Linked DNA regions of Cricetulus griseus. The protein of the gene in region 1 purifies or fractionates together with the protein of each later gene. This does not show direct contact. Links are inferred from orthologs where the notes say so. Each region holds a gene or a part of one and is shown in the gene's direction. Other genes may lie near its edges. The genes, in order: Tnrc6a, protein argonaute-3 and Cnot7.

The links.
Region 2: the proteins of Tnrc6a (region 1) and protein argonaute-3 purify together in Homo sapiens (affinity purification with mass spectrometry; 7 studies listed by BioGRID and IntAct, with this or other methods). This does not show direct contact. The link is inferred for Cricetulus griseus from reciprocal best matches to the Homo sapiens genes TNRC6A and AGO3.
Region 3: the proteins of Tnrc6a (region 1) and Cnot7 purify together in Homo sapiens (affinity purification with western blotting; 3 studies listed by BioGRID and IntAct, with this or other methods). This does not show direct contact. The link is inferred for Cricetulus griseus from reciprocal best matches to the Homo sapiens genes TNRC6A and CNOT7.

What each region holds. Positions count from the first base shown.
Region 1 is NC_048596.1:77,543,295-77,546,946, reverse strand, and holds part of Tnrc6a (trinucleotide repeat-containing gene 6A protein), read left to right. Parts: coding exon 1-2,273; intron 2,274-3,488; coding exon 3,489-3,652.
Region 2 is NC_048595.1:26,617,007-26,620,758, forward strand, and holds the start of protein argonaute-3, read left to right. Parts: upstream 1-1,120; 5' UTR 1,121-1,308; coding exon 1,309-1,327; intron 1,328-3,752.
Region 3 is NW_023276807.1:45,223,014-45,226,665, forward strand, and holds part of Cnot7 (CCR4-NOT transcription complex subunit 7), read left to right. Parts: exon of another isoform or gene 1-357; intron 358-630; coding exon 631-792; intron 793-3,652. UniProt on the Homo sapiens protein: Has 3'-5' poly(A) exoribonuclease activity for synthetic poly(A) RNA substrate. Its function seems to be partially redundant with that of CNOT8.

The sequences.
Region 1 (3,652 bases):
CAATAATGTAGGCCATGGAAGTAGTACTGGGCCATGGGGCTTCCCCCATGGAGCCATAATAAGCACATGTCAGGTCTCTGTGGATGCTCCTGAAAGCAAATCAGAAAGTAGTAACAATAGAATGAATGCTTGGGGCACTGTAAGTTCTTCATCAAATGGAGGGTTAAATCCAAGCACTTTGAATTCAGCTAGCAACCATGGTGCCTGGCCAGTATTAGAAAACAATGGACTTGCCCTAAAAGGGCCTGTAGGGAGTGGGAGTTCTGGCATCAATATTCAGTGTAGTACCATAGGCCAGATGCCTAACAATCAGAGTATCAACTCTAAAGTCAGTGGCTCTTCTACCCATGGTACCTGGGGCAGCCTTCAGGAAACTTGTGACCCTGAAGTAAGTGGTACACAGAAGGTTTCGTTCAGTGGTCAACCTCAGAATATCACCACTGAAACAACTGGACCAAATAACACTACTAACTTTATGACCTCTAGTTTACCAAACTCCGGTTCAGTACAGAATAATGAACTGCCTACTAGTAATCCAGGGGCCTGGCGTGTGAGCACAATGAATCATCCTCAGATACAGGCTCCGTCAGTTATGAATGGCACTTCCCTTTCTCACCTTAGCAATGGAGAGTCAAAAACTGGAGGCTCCTACGGTACTACATGGGGTGCCTATGGTTCTAATTACTCTGGCGACAAATGTGCAGGCCCTAATGGCCAAGCCAATGGTGACACTGTGAATGCAACTCTAATGCAGCCTGGCATAAATGGGCCTATGGGCACTAACTTTCAAATTAACACAAATAAAGGGGGAGGTGTATGGGAGCCTGGGACAACAAATTCCCAGAGTTCACCATGGGGAAGTGGAAATGGTGCGAATTCTGGAGGAAGTCGAAGAGGATGGGGAAGTCCTGCACAGAACACTGGCACTAGTCTACCCAGTGTTGAATGGAACAAACTGCCTAGCAATCAGCATTCCAATGATAGTGCAAATGGCAATGGTAAGAAGTTTACAAATGGATGGAAATCTACTGAGGAAGAGGATCAGGGTTCTGCCACGTCTCAGACAAATGAGCAAAACAGTGTGTGGGCCAAAACAGGAGGCACAGTGGAGAGTGATGGTAGTACCGAGAGCACTGGACGCCTTGATGAAAAAGTAACTGGGGAAAGTCAGAGTAGAGATAGAAGAAAAATTGATCAGCACACATTACTCCAAAGCATTGTAAACAGAACTGACTTAGATCCACGTGTCCTATCCAACTCTGGTTGGGGACAGACTCCTATTAAGCAGAATACTGCCTGGGATACAGAGACATCACCAAGAGGGGAAAGAAAGACTGACAATGGGACAGAGGCCTGGGGAAGCTCTGCAACACAGACTTTTAACTCAGGGGCATGTATAGATAAGACTAGCCCTAATAGTAATGATACCTCATCTGTATCAGGGTGGGGTGATCCCAAACCTACTCTGAGGTGGGGAGATTCCAAAGGCTCAAACTGCCAGGGGGGGTGGGAAGATGATTCTGCTGCTACAGGAATGATCAAGAGCAATCAGTGGGGGAATTGCAAAGAAGAGAAGTCTGCATGGAATGATTCGCAAAAGAACAAACAAGGGTGGGGTGATGGACAAAAGTCAAACCAAGGTTGGTCCATTTCTGCCAGTGATAACTGGGGAGAAACTTCCAGGAGTAACCATTGGGGTGAGACTAATAAGAAATCCAGCTCAGGAGGTAGTGACAGTGACAGGTCCATTTCTGGTTGGAATGAACTTGGTAAAACTAGTTCTTTTACTTGGGGAAATAATATAAATCCAAATAATTCATCAGGATGGGATGACTCTTCTAAACCTAATTCTTCCCAGGGATGGGGAGACCCTCCAAAGTGTAATCAGTCTCTCGGTTGGGGAGATTCATCAAAACCAGTTAGTTCTCCAGATTGGAACAAGCAACAAGACATTGTTGGATCGTGGGGAATCCCACCAGCCACTGGCAAGCCTCCTGGTACAGGCTGGCTAGGAGGACCTATTCCAGCTCCAACAAAGGAGGAAGAACCCACAGGCTGGGAGGAGCCATCCCCAGAATCTATACGACGAAAAATGGAGATTGACGATGGAACTTCAGCTTGGGGAGATCCGAGCAAATACAACTACAAAAATGTGAACATGTGGAATAAAAACATCCCAGATGGCAGCAGCCGCTCAGACCAGCAAGCACAGATGCATCGGTTGCTGCCATCTGCAAACACTGTCTCAAGCAAGGAGGCAAGCAGTGGCTCTGGTAAGTGTTCATCTTTGGAGTCCAGTAGTACTCTGGAAGCAAGCTTTGTGTTGACATGCTGTCATAGGATTTGTTTAGCAGAGCACTTGGATATGCACATGGAGGCCTTTCAGCTGTGCTCCGAGAGTCGGTTGTTTTCACCAGGCAGTGTTGCTGTGAATCTTAGTACTCTGTTAGGAATGTAGACGGGGTTAGGTGGCAATATTACATACGTCTTTCAGTTATTCTGAGTCAAGACTTAACTGTTTGGTTTTATTACTGAAATACAGTGAAGCCAAGTGCCTGAATACAGTACTGGTAGATATTTGGTCTTTGACTTTAGAGGATTTTTCTAAATTAGACATCTAAATTCTAGATTAGAAGTCCACATCTACTCAGATAACAGTGGATATAGTGTGTGTGCCTAAAACAGTGCACTGTATCTTTCCAGTATAGTCCTCTCCTATACTGAGCAAATTCTTTTCTGTGTAAATTGATACGACAACATTTTCTGTAAATGTTACAGGCTAATATTTCCTTTGTTAATGGGAGTTTTGTTGAGTAATGTTTCATTGGACAGAGAAGTGGCAATGTTTTGATGAATTCTTTTGGTACTTAATTGTGGTTTGTTTTTTAAATATGAGTCTAGGCTGTTGATTTATGTTTAACTTTTAGGGCAGGCATCTTTGTTTTCATTCTTTAAACAAATTTTTTTGTGGCTTTTTGCATGGTGGGGGGAACGTTTAGACATCCTCAATGTAATTGTGTACACCTTTTTTCCTGGGTACATTTAAATGAACATTATCCAGTGTGTATAGAGTAGGTTGCTTGCCTGTTGGTAGTTGTATAGTCAGTTGTTCTCCATTACAGTGCTGTGGGAAGGGTGTCCTTTCAGTAAGGTGTGCCTAGTAGAACCCTTCACCCCACGCCTGCTCAGGTTCAGAAGAACTTGTATTTTTAGATACTAACTTCATCCTCAAAGGAAGATAATTTGCCGTAGTAATTGAATTATTCAAAAGAATCTGCCCTAGCATCAGAAGGCAGTTTTGAAAGAAAAGGTTAAACATTATACAGTTAAATTATATTAGTGCAGAATAATTTATGCCTCATGCTTGTCACAGCGTCATTATTCAGTATATGAATGTGAAGTTCTTCATTTGGTTTACTAAATACTTCCTTATTTGCTGTGTTTCCTTATATGCATGCTGATGACTTCTTTTCCCACACTTCCTAAAGGCTGGGGTGAGCCCTGGGGAGAGCCTTCTACTCCTGCCACGACTGTGGATAATGGTACTTCAGCCTGGGGTAAACCCACAGACAGTGGTCCCAGCTGGGGAGAACCCATTAGTGCGGCATCCAACACATCCACCTGGGGCTCCAGCTCTGTTGGTCCACAGTCA
Region 2 (3,752 bases), on another chromosome or scaffold:
TTTTAAAATGTTATATATGCATATTTAAAGTTAAAACATCACTGGTTAATTGGGACACAGGGAAAATAATGAGTCACTGCTAAGCCTGCATAAAATAGTATCTGTTTTCACTAAGCTAAGTAATTTTAAAAGGATGGTCTGCTTGCATGTGCTGGATCTGGCCTCCGATTCTGATGGGTTGGAGGCAGGTCAAAAAGTAGTCCACATCCTACAGATCGGGTAGACCAGTGTCCAGGAAAGGCCACCGGAGATGACTTAAGTGAAAGTTTGGCATGGGATGGGAAAGGGAGAATTCCTGGCCAAGGGAACCCAAAGGCTCCAATTCAGCAGAAAAGCACCTGACCAGGTCGGGGGAGCTGGAAGTGGACCAGCTTAGTCTAATACAGTCTTGAGGGGTCCAGAGGGAAAAGGCCTTGGCTCCTTAGCCAGGTGCTTTAACGCCAGAAGGGAGTTTATGTTCTTCAAGGGGATTAGGAGAGTGTTTAAACACAGAAATGATTCCTTCTTGTACTCTATGTAATGTCCTGTTTCTTAGTCTTCTGTTTTAAAACTACATTGAATTTATTTTAACCATCTTTAAAAAAAAAAAAGTTGTCAAAGCAACCTCGGGTACTTAGCGAAATCTCTTGTGGTTACCGCCTAGTACTTGTGCTCAGAGCGGGCGTGGCAGGCGGAGCTAGGAGGGAGGATGTCCTTGGATGGTCATCTGTCATTCTCAGGTAGAACTGTCCCTCAGGTAAGCTCCTCGGGGCTGGCAGTGACGTCGCCTCAGGCAGCGGCCCCGACCGGTCCCCGCCTGGAAGGCTGTCACGGGGGAGGCTGGCCTCTGGCTCGGGATTGTCACCGTCAGGCACAGCGGGTGCTGGGCGGCCGCGCTCTCACGGCTCCGCCCCGGCCTGTCACCCGCTCGCTCACCCTCCCACACCTCCCCAGAGTCCTCCATGCGCTGGCCAGGCCGGCTCGGACGTTGTCACCGCACAGATCCGGCTCCAGGCGAGTTGCGGACCCCGCGAGCGGGGCACGGTCCGGGGAGCGGAACTGACGCGGGCGGGCTTCCGGGGGCAACCCGGGAGAGCGAGCAACGGCGGTGGCCGGCGGTTTGGGGAGCTGTGCACGCGTCAGCAACCGTGTGCGACGCAAGTTCCGGACCGGGCTTCAGCGTCCTCGCCTCACGCCTCTCTCTGTTCTCGCCTAGCTGCGGGCTGTCTCCCGACAGTGGCTCTTCTGCCCTGAGCTTTCGCAGGGCGCCCCTTCCTCGCCTCAGTGGCCGCACCGTTCTCTCGTGAAGCACTGCCCCCAGCTCCATGAATGGAAATCGGCTCCGCAGGTAAGTCGGGGCTGCCGGACGGGGCAGGTAGGGTCGTCACCCAACGGTCGTCCCCCGAGCATCCTTGCGCCTTCATTAAGGGAGCCGTTGGTTTTCGGGCCCAACGCCGCTGGCTTCTCCACAGCACCGCAGCTACCCTCCCGGGGCCACTGAGTTGGCAAAACTACCAGGAGGGTTTAAGTTTGGGTTTATCTAGGCGATGTCATCCCCCTGGAGTGCTTCTTCTCCCCTGAGGATACAGAGGAGTTTGCCCTTGCTTTTGTAATTCCATTTGGAAACGTCAAGGCAGCGCTTATCCCTTAGCCGGGTCGCGCGTCCCATGTAGGCTGGATAGTCAGTCCCCTTTTCTACCTCTTAAAGTAGTCTGAAGGTATTCTGAGATCACCGATGGGCTTAAGTTTAAGTCAGATGCAGGACGGCATTGCTTGCATCCCCAGACTCACTCTGTCTGTGGCAGTGTGGTATGTAGTTTTCCGAGGAGCTTGGCGAGGTCCTCTCGGTCTGGATCACCACTTATGTGAGAAGGTAGATCTTCAGAATGTTGGCACTGTTTCCCCCGATTTTCTGTTCCCTACGGCAGCAGTTGTCCACATACCTGGAAATCTGGGGTGTAGGAAAACGGTTTTGTCTCTGGAGAGAAAAATGGCAGCCTTGAGAAAGGAAGCCAGCCTGGACAGTACTTGTCCTAAGAAAGAAAGAGAGGAGAGAGAGAGAGAGAGAGAGAGAGAGAGAGAGAGAGACGAGAGAGAGAGAGAGAGAGAGAGAGAGAGAGAGAGAGGGAAAGAAAGAAAGAAAGGTCAGCGATTCTGAAGTAACTGATAAAGCAACAAGAAATAGGTGTTACATAACGGTTTGCTTACCAAGTAATCACCCTTGTTCCCTAAATTTGAAAGTTCTCTTCATCCACAAGATCAGTAATGGTATAGTTTCTATAATATTTGGGGGGATTGCCTTGTTATTATTGTATAACAAATCCCTGAATTTCATATCTTCCCTTGCCAATTTGAAAGTCCCCAAATATGTAATGTAAACTAATGTAAAAAAAAACAAACTAGTGACATAATTGTCAAAATGGATACAAAAAGGCATTTTCTGGATTACATGGAATCTCTTTCTACTCTGTTTCTACCATTTTTCCCTTTATGTTCCATTTTTTCTCTTCTCTCTTTCTTTCTTTCTTTTTTTTTTTTTTTTTTTTTTTTTTTTTTTTTTTTTTTTTTTTTGGTTTTTCGAGACAGGGTTTCTCTGTGGCTTTGGGGGCTGTCCTGGAATTAGCTCTTGTAGACCAGGCTGATCTCGAACCCACAGAGATCCGCCTGCCTCTGCCTCCCGAGTGCTGGGATTAAAGGCATGTGCCACCAATGCCCGGCTTCTCTTCTCCATATTTTTCTAAAAAGCAAAATTTGTCTAGACTGAAGTTTTAGACTCTTATTATCAATTTGTGTATTTCCATTGTCTTTTCTTTGTTCTTAAATTTTACATTTTATTTGTACTTTTCTTACTTTATAAGATATCTGATTATTTCCAGAGATCTGACTTTTACATAACTACTCTATTGTTAAGCCTGAAAAACCAAATATGAAATTAAATATTTTGTTAATCATCTACCTAAAACTTTTGAAGATATCTCCCCCTAATGAGGTATTCCCCCTTTAGGTTTTTCATGTGAAAATACGATCTAGAAAGTACTTGTGATATCAGACCACCTAGTCAGCTGATACAGTTAGCAAAGCCTGGTTCAGAAAATCAATTTTACCTTTTCCTTTGGGGTGTTCTTCTGATAGAATATAGAACAATTGATGAGTCTTCACATAAGGGTAGATATAGTTAACTAGCATGGCATAGTGGCTCACACTTTGGTCCCAGCACTCAGGAGGCAGAGATGGTTCAATCTCTTTGAGTTGGAGGCCAGCCTGGTCTACATAAAGAGTTCCAGGCTAGCCGGGGCTACATAATGAGACCCTGTCTCAAACAAACAAACTAACTAAAATTAAAACAAAACAGTTTATCAACCATGCTTGGTCATCTTGAAACATAAAAGTCATTCTTCAATAAGGTTTATGCATGATTGACTGTTGTCTGGCATCAGGAGCAAGACTGTTACCATCAAAAATGGTTCTTTGGGCTAGTCATTGTGGCACATGTCTTTAACCCCACTACTTGGAAGGCAGAGGCAGAGGCAGGCGGTTCTTTGTGAATTCAATATCAGCCTGGTCTACAGAGTGAGTTCCAGAACAGGCTCCAAAGCTATACAGAGAAACTCTGTCTCAACAAAACAAAACAAAACAAAACAATTAGATATTCTTTAATAGTCTGTTAGGTTAGTACTGAAACTTTTGGTTCTCAAATTCTGTTTTTCTTTTGTATGGAGATTCTCAGGAATCATTTACCGACAGATTGTTTATTATGTGGATACACAGAAATC
Region 3 (3,652 bases), on another chromosome or scaffold:
TTCTTGGCTTGGTTTTTAGAAGGTAGTCTTCTAGGATTGTGTTTGCCTCTGATGTAGGTATGTTATTGCTGGAGGAAGAACCTGCTGAGTCCTTAATTCTGAAGAGTTTACTGCTTAATAGAGCCACAGAAAGGCTCCTCATTTGTGAAAGGAGGCATCTCGTTTTTCTTTAAGATGGAATATAGTTTAACTCAGCCACAAGAGATGTTTGCCACTTGGTGTCTCCTTCCTGGTTCTGCTGAGAGCATGAGAGGTGTGAAAACCCCTCATAGCTGTGGCTGCAGCTCCATCTGGCAGCACTAACCTAGCTGCAGAGATTGAGAGCCTCTGAACAGAGCATGTCTGTGGTAGCCTCTGGTGAGTAAAAGACCCTTTGTAAGCCAGGGAAATGCATATGATGTGTAGATACTAATGGAATTGAGTTGATGCTAAGGGACTCACCACTGGACTATTGTGAATGATTATTTACTTTTGGATACTTTACATTTTGTTTCTCTTAAGAGTTGTAAGCATTTGGATAGTTGGACATAAACCAATCATGTCTGTTTGTGCACTATAGTTGTAGGTGTAAGTGGGAGAATGGCTGTTTAATGGTGGTCTTGAACATTATTTTTCTCTTTCTCCTGCCAGGGAGGACATGTATGCTCAGGACTCTATAGAGCTACTAACAACATCTGGTATCCAGTTTAAAAAACACGAGGAGGAAGGAATTGAGACCCAGTACTTTGCAGAACTTCTTATGACTTCAGGAGTGGTTCTTTGTGAAGGGGTCAAATGGTTGTCATTTCATAGGTAAATAAATAAACAGATTGCAGTGTGTTTCCCTCCTATCTCTTGTTTATACTTGATTGAGTCTCTGTATCAGAAATTCTATGCTTAGTTCTAAAAACATGTTAGTTAACTACCATGAGAGACTGTCTTATGCCTCACTTGAGAATAACCTTGTTTGTTTACATTACCTCTTAGCAAGGATTTGTTTTAGCCTTTGAGAGGTAATGGTGCTTAGTGGAAAGAATATAAGCAAGAAGAAACCTTCAGTGAAACCTGGCAAAGCCATTGAGGATTTGTGTCACCCATGGTTCTTAATAAATTTAAACATTAGTTTTTGTATTTATAGAAAGAAAGCCGTTTTTTAAAAGCTTAGTAGTACTTTCCTGATCTTAGCTACTGTACTAAGATTCTAAAACTTAATACAACAGATTAAATTTTTCCTTCCTAGGTAGTTTCCTTTCTGCTGAAGGTAAACCAATACTTTTTGACCTAATTTCTAGTGTGGTTTGTTACATAATAATAAGTTCTATGAAAAACAACTGATAACAGAGAATTCAAAGAAGGGATATTAGGGGATTTTTAATTATATTTTTGGATGAGGTGATTGGGAAGGCTATCCTTAAGGAAAAACATCTTGTAGATGTTTCTCAGTAGTCAATTATAACCTATTTAAAGCATCTAGTATTTTATATACTCTGTATATGATTACTTTTAATTCTTTATTATTATAAAATAAAACTAGATAGTTAAAGTTTCTACGAGGAAGTTAATTCACCTTTTTAAAAGTTAATTTATTTGTATGTGTGAGAAAATGTTTTTCTTTATAAATCAGCTGATTTGGCAGTTCTGGAACTAAAAGTGACCTTTGATGTTATGGGTTTGATTTTTTTTTTAATTAATTTGACTATTTGATAATAGGGTTTCTGTCTCTATTTGAAAAGTACTGTGTTGCTGGACATAGTGACACACATCTTTAACTCAAGCCAGTCAGAGCTATACAATCAGACCCTTTCTCAAAAAACAAAAACACACAACAACAACAGCAAAGCAACAATGTGTTACTCTGGTCTTAGTGCTCTTTTTTTTTTTTTTTTTTTTTTTTTTTTTTTTTTTTTTTTTTATTGAGAAGAGTTATTGGGGGAAGGGAGAGAGGAGACGAAAAGAGAGAGACAGACAGATCTGCCTGTCTCTTCAGAGGAATGGTAGAAAGAGACATTTGTTTGTTTGTTTGTTTTTCCAGACAGGGTTTCTCTGTGTAGTTTGGAGCCTATACTGGAACTCACTCTGTAGACCAGGCTGGCCTTGAACTCACAGAGATCTGCCTGCCTCTGCCTCCCAATGCTGGTATTAAAGGCATGTGCCACCACCGCCCCAGATCTTACTGCTCTTAATCTTGATAGGCTTCATACTTTTTTTTTTTCCGATAAGAATCTTCCACAGGAAATGATTATAATGTTGGATGGTTCCTGAAGTAGACCTTGATGTGGTATTATATAGTGAGTTTTAAGTTGTAAGTTCTGAATGGAGAGATGGATCAGAGGTTAAGAGCACTGGCTGCTCCTCCAGAGGTCCTGAGTTCAATTCCCAGCAACCACATGGTGGCTCACAACCATCTATAATGAGACCTGGTGCCCTCTTCTGCATGCAGGCAGAACATTGTATACATAATAAATGAAGCTTTAAAAAAGAAAGAAGAATTCTCATATACTAACTTTTATCTATGTTCATACTTATAAAGATACAAAATAACCAATTCTTTTAGTTTATACTGTATAACACATCCACTGACTCAAACAATATTTTGAATAAGTACTATTGACTCAGAACTGGGGGTAGCAAAATGGACAAAACCAAGCAGGGTTCATGTTTTATTCAACATTTTAGTCTACATTAGTGTACAGTATATGTATGTATAAAACTATAAAATTATTCCATTAAACATCACAAATATTTTCCATATTCTAATCTGTTTTTATTAATATTTTTGGAAATAATAAATCTTGCCAGTCATGGTACCTTTAATCCTAGTACTTAGGAGGCAGAGGCAGGTAGATCTCTGGAGTTCAGGCCATCCTAATCTCCATAGTAACTTCCAGCCCAGCCAGAGCTACATAGTAAAACCCAGTCAAAAAACATGGATAAGTAAATTATACATATATATGTCTACATATGTATGTGTGTGTATATATAGTGTGTGTGTGTATTCTAAACTGAAATATTTTGCTAGAAGTAAGCAAAAGCCATTGTGCTGTTGTTTAGGTAACTTGGCAAGGTCATTTCTTTGAAAACTAACAAATGTAAGTTTTCTTCTCTTAGGTACTTGTATTAAAGATCTTGTATGGTAAACAACTCCCCTTTCAAATTCAAAGTAAATAGAATCAAATTAAAGTTTTATTTTGTGTCTCCTCCAAAAGAGAAGTCATTTGCCAATTAAGAGTTCAAATTATATGCAAGGGAAAGATACTTTATAACTCTGAGTCCTGTCCTTTAAACTAGTGGAGAAAATCCATGTACCTAAAGGTCAGGACCAGCAAATATATGTGGTATGAAAAATCTCTGGGAATCGGACACTTCAGGGAAGGCGGGCTGTCGCAGGCCTAATAGAAAGTTGTATCTTAAGGAGTTCAGGAGTGGAGGAAACTAGGCATCTGTGGAAAGACTAGTGATAAGGTTGTATGCTCTCAATTTGAGATAGCAGGAGGTTGTATCATGTGGAGAAAAAACAGTTTTCACTTTTTCTTTGTTCCTACCTTTCATGTTTAATATCTGTTGATAATATCTCTTGGAGAATTATACTATGTGAAAACAACAATTGAGGAATTTTGCATACTAATAGTCACTTATGGGAAAGGAAATATTCTGTTAGGGACTTATTCTTTGC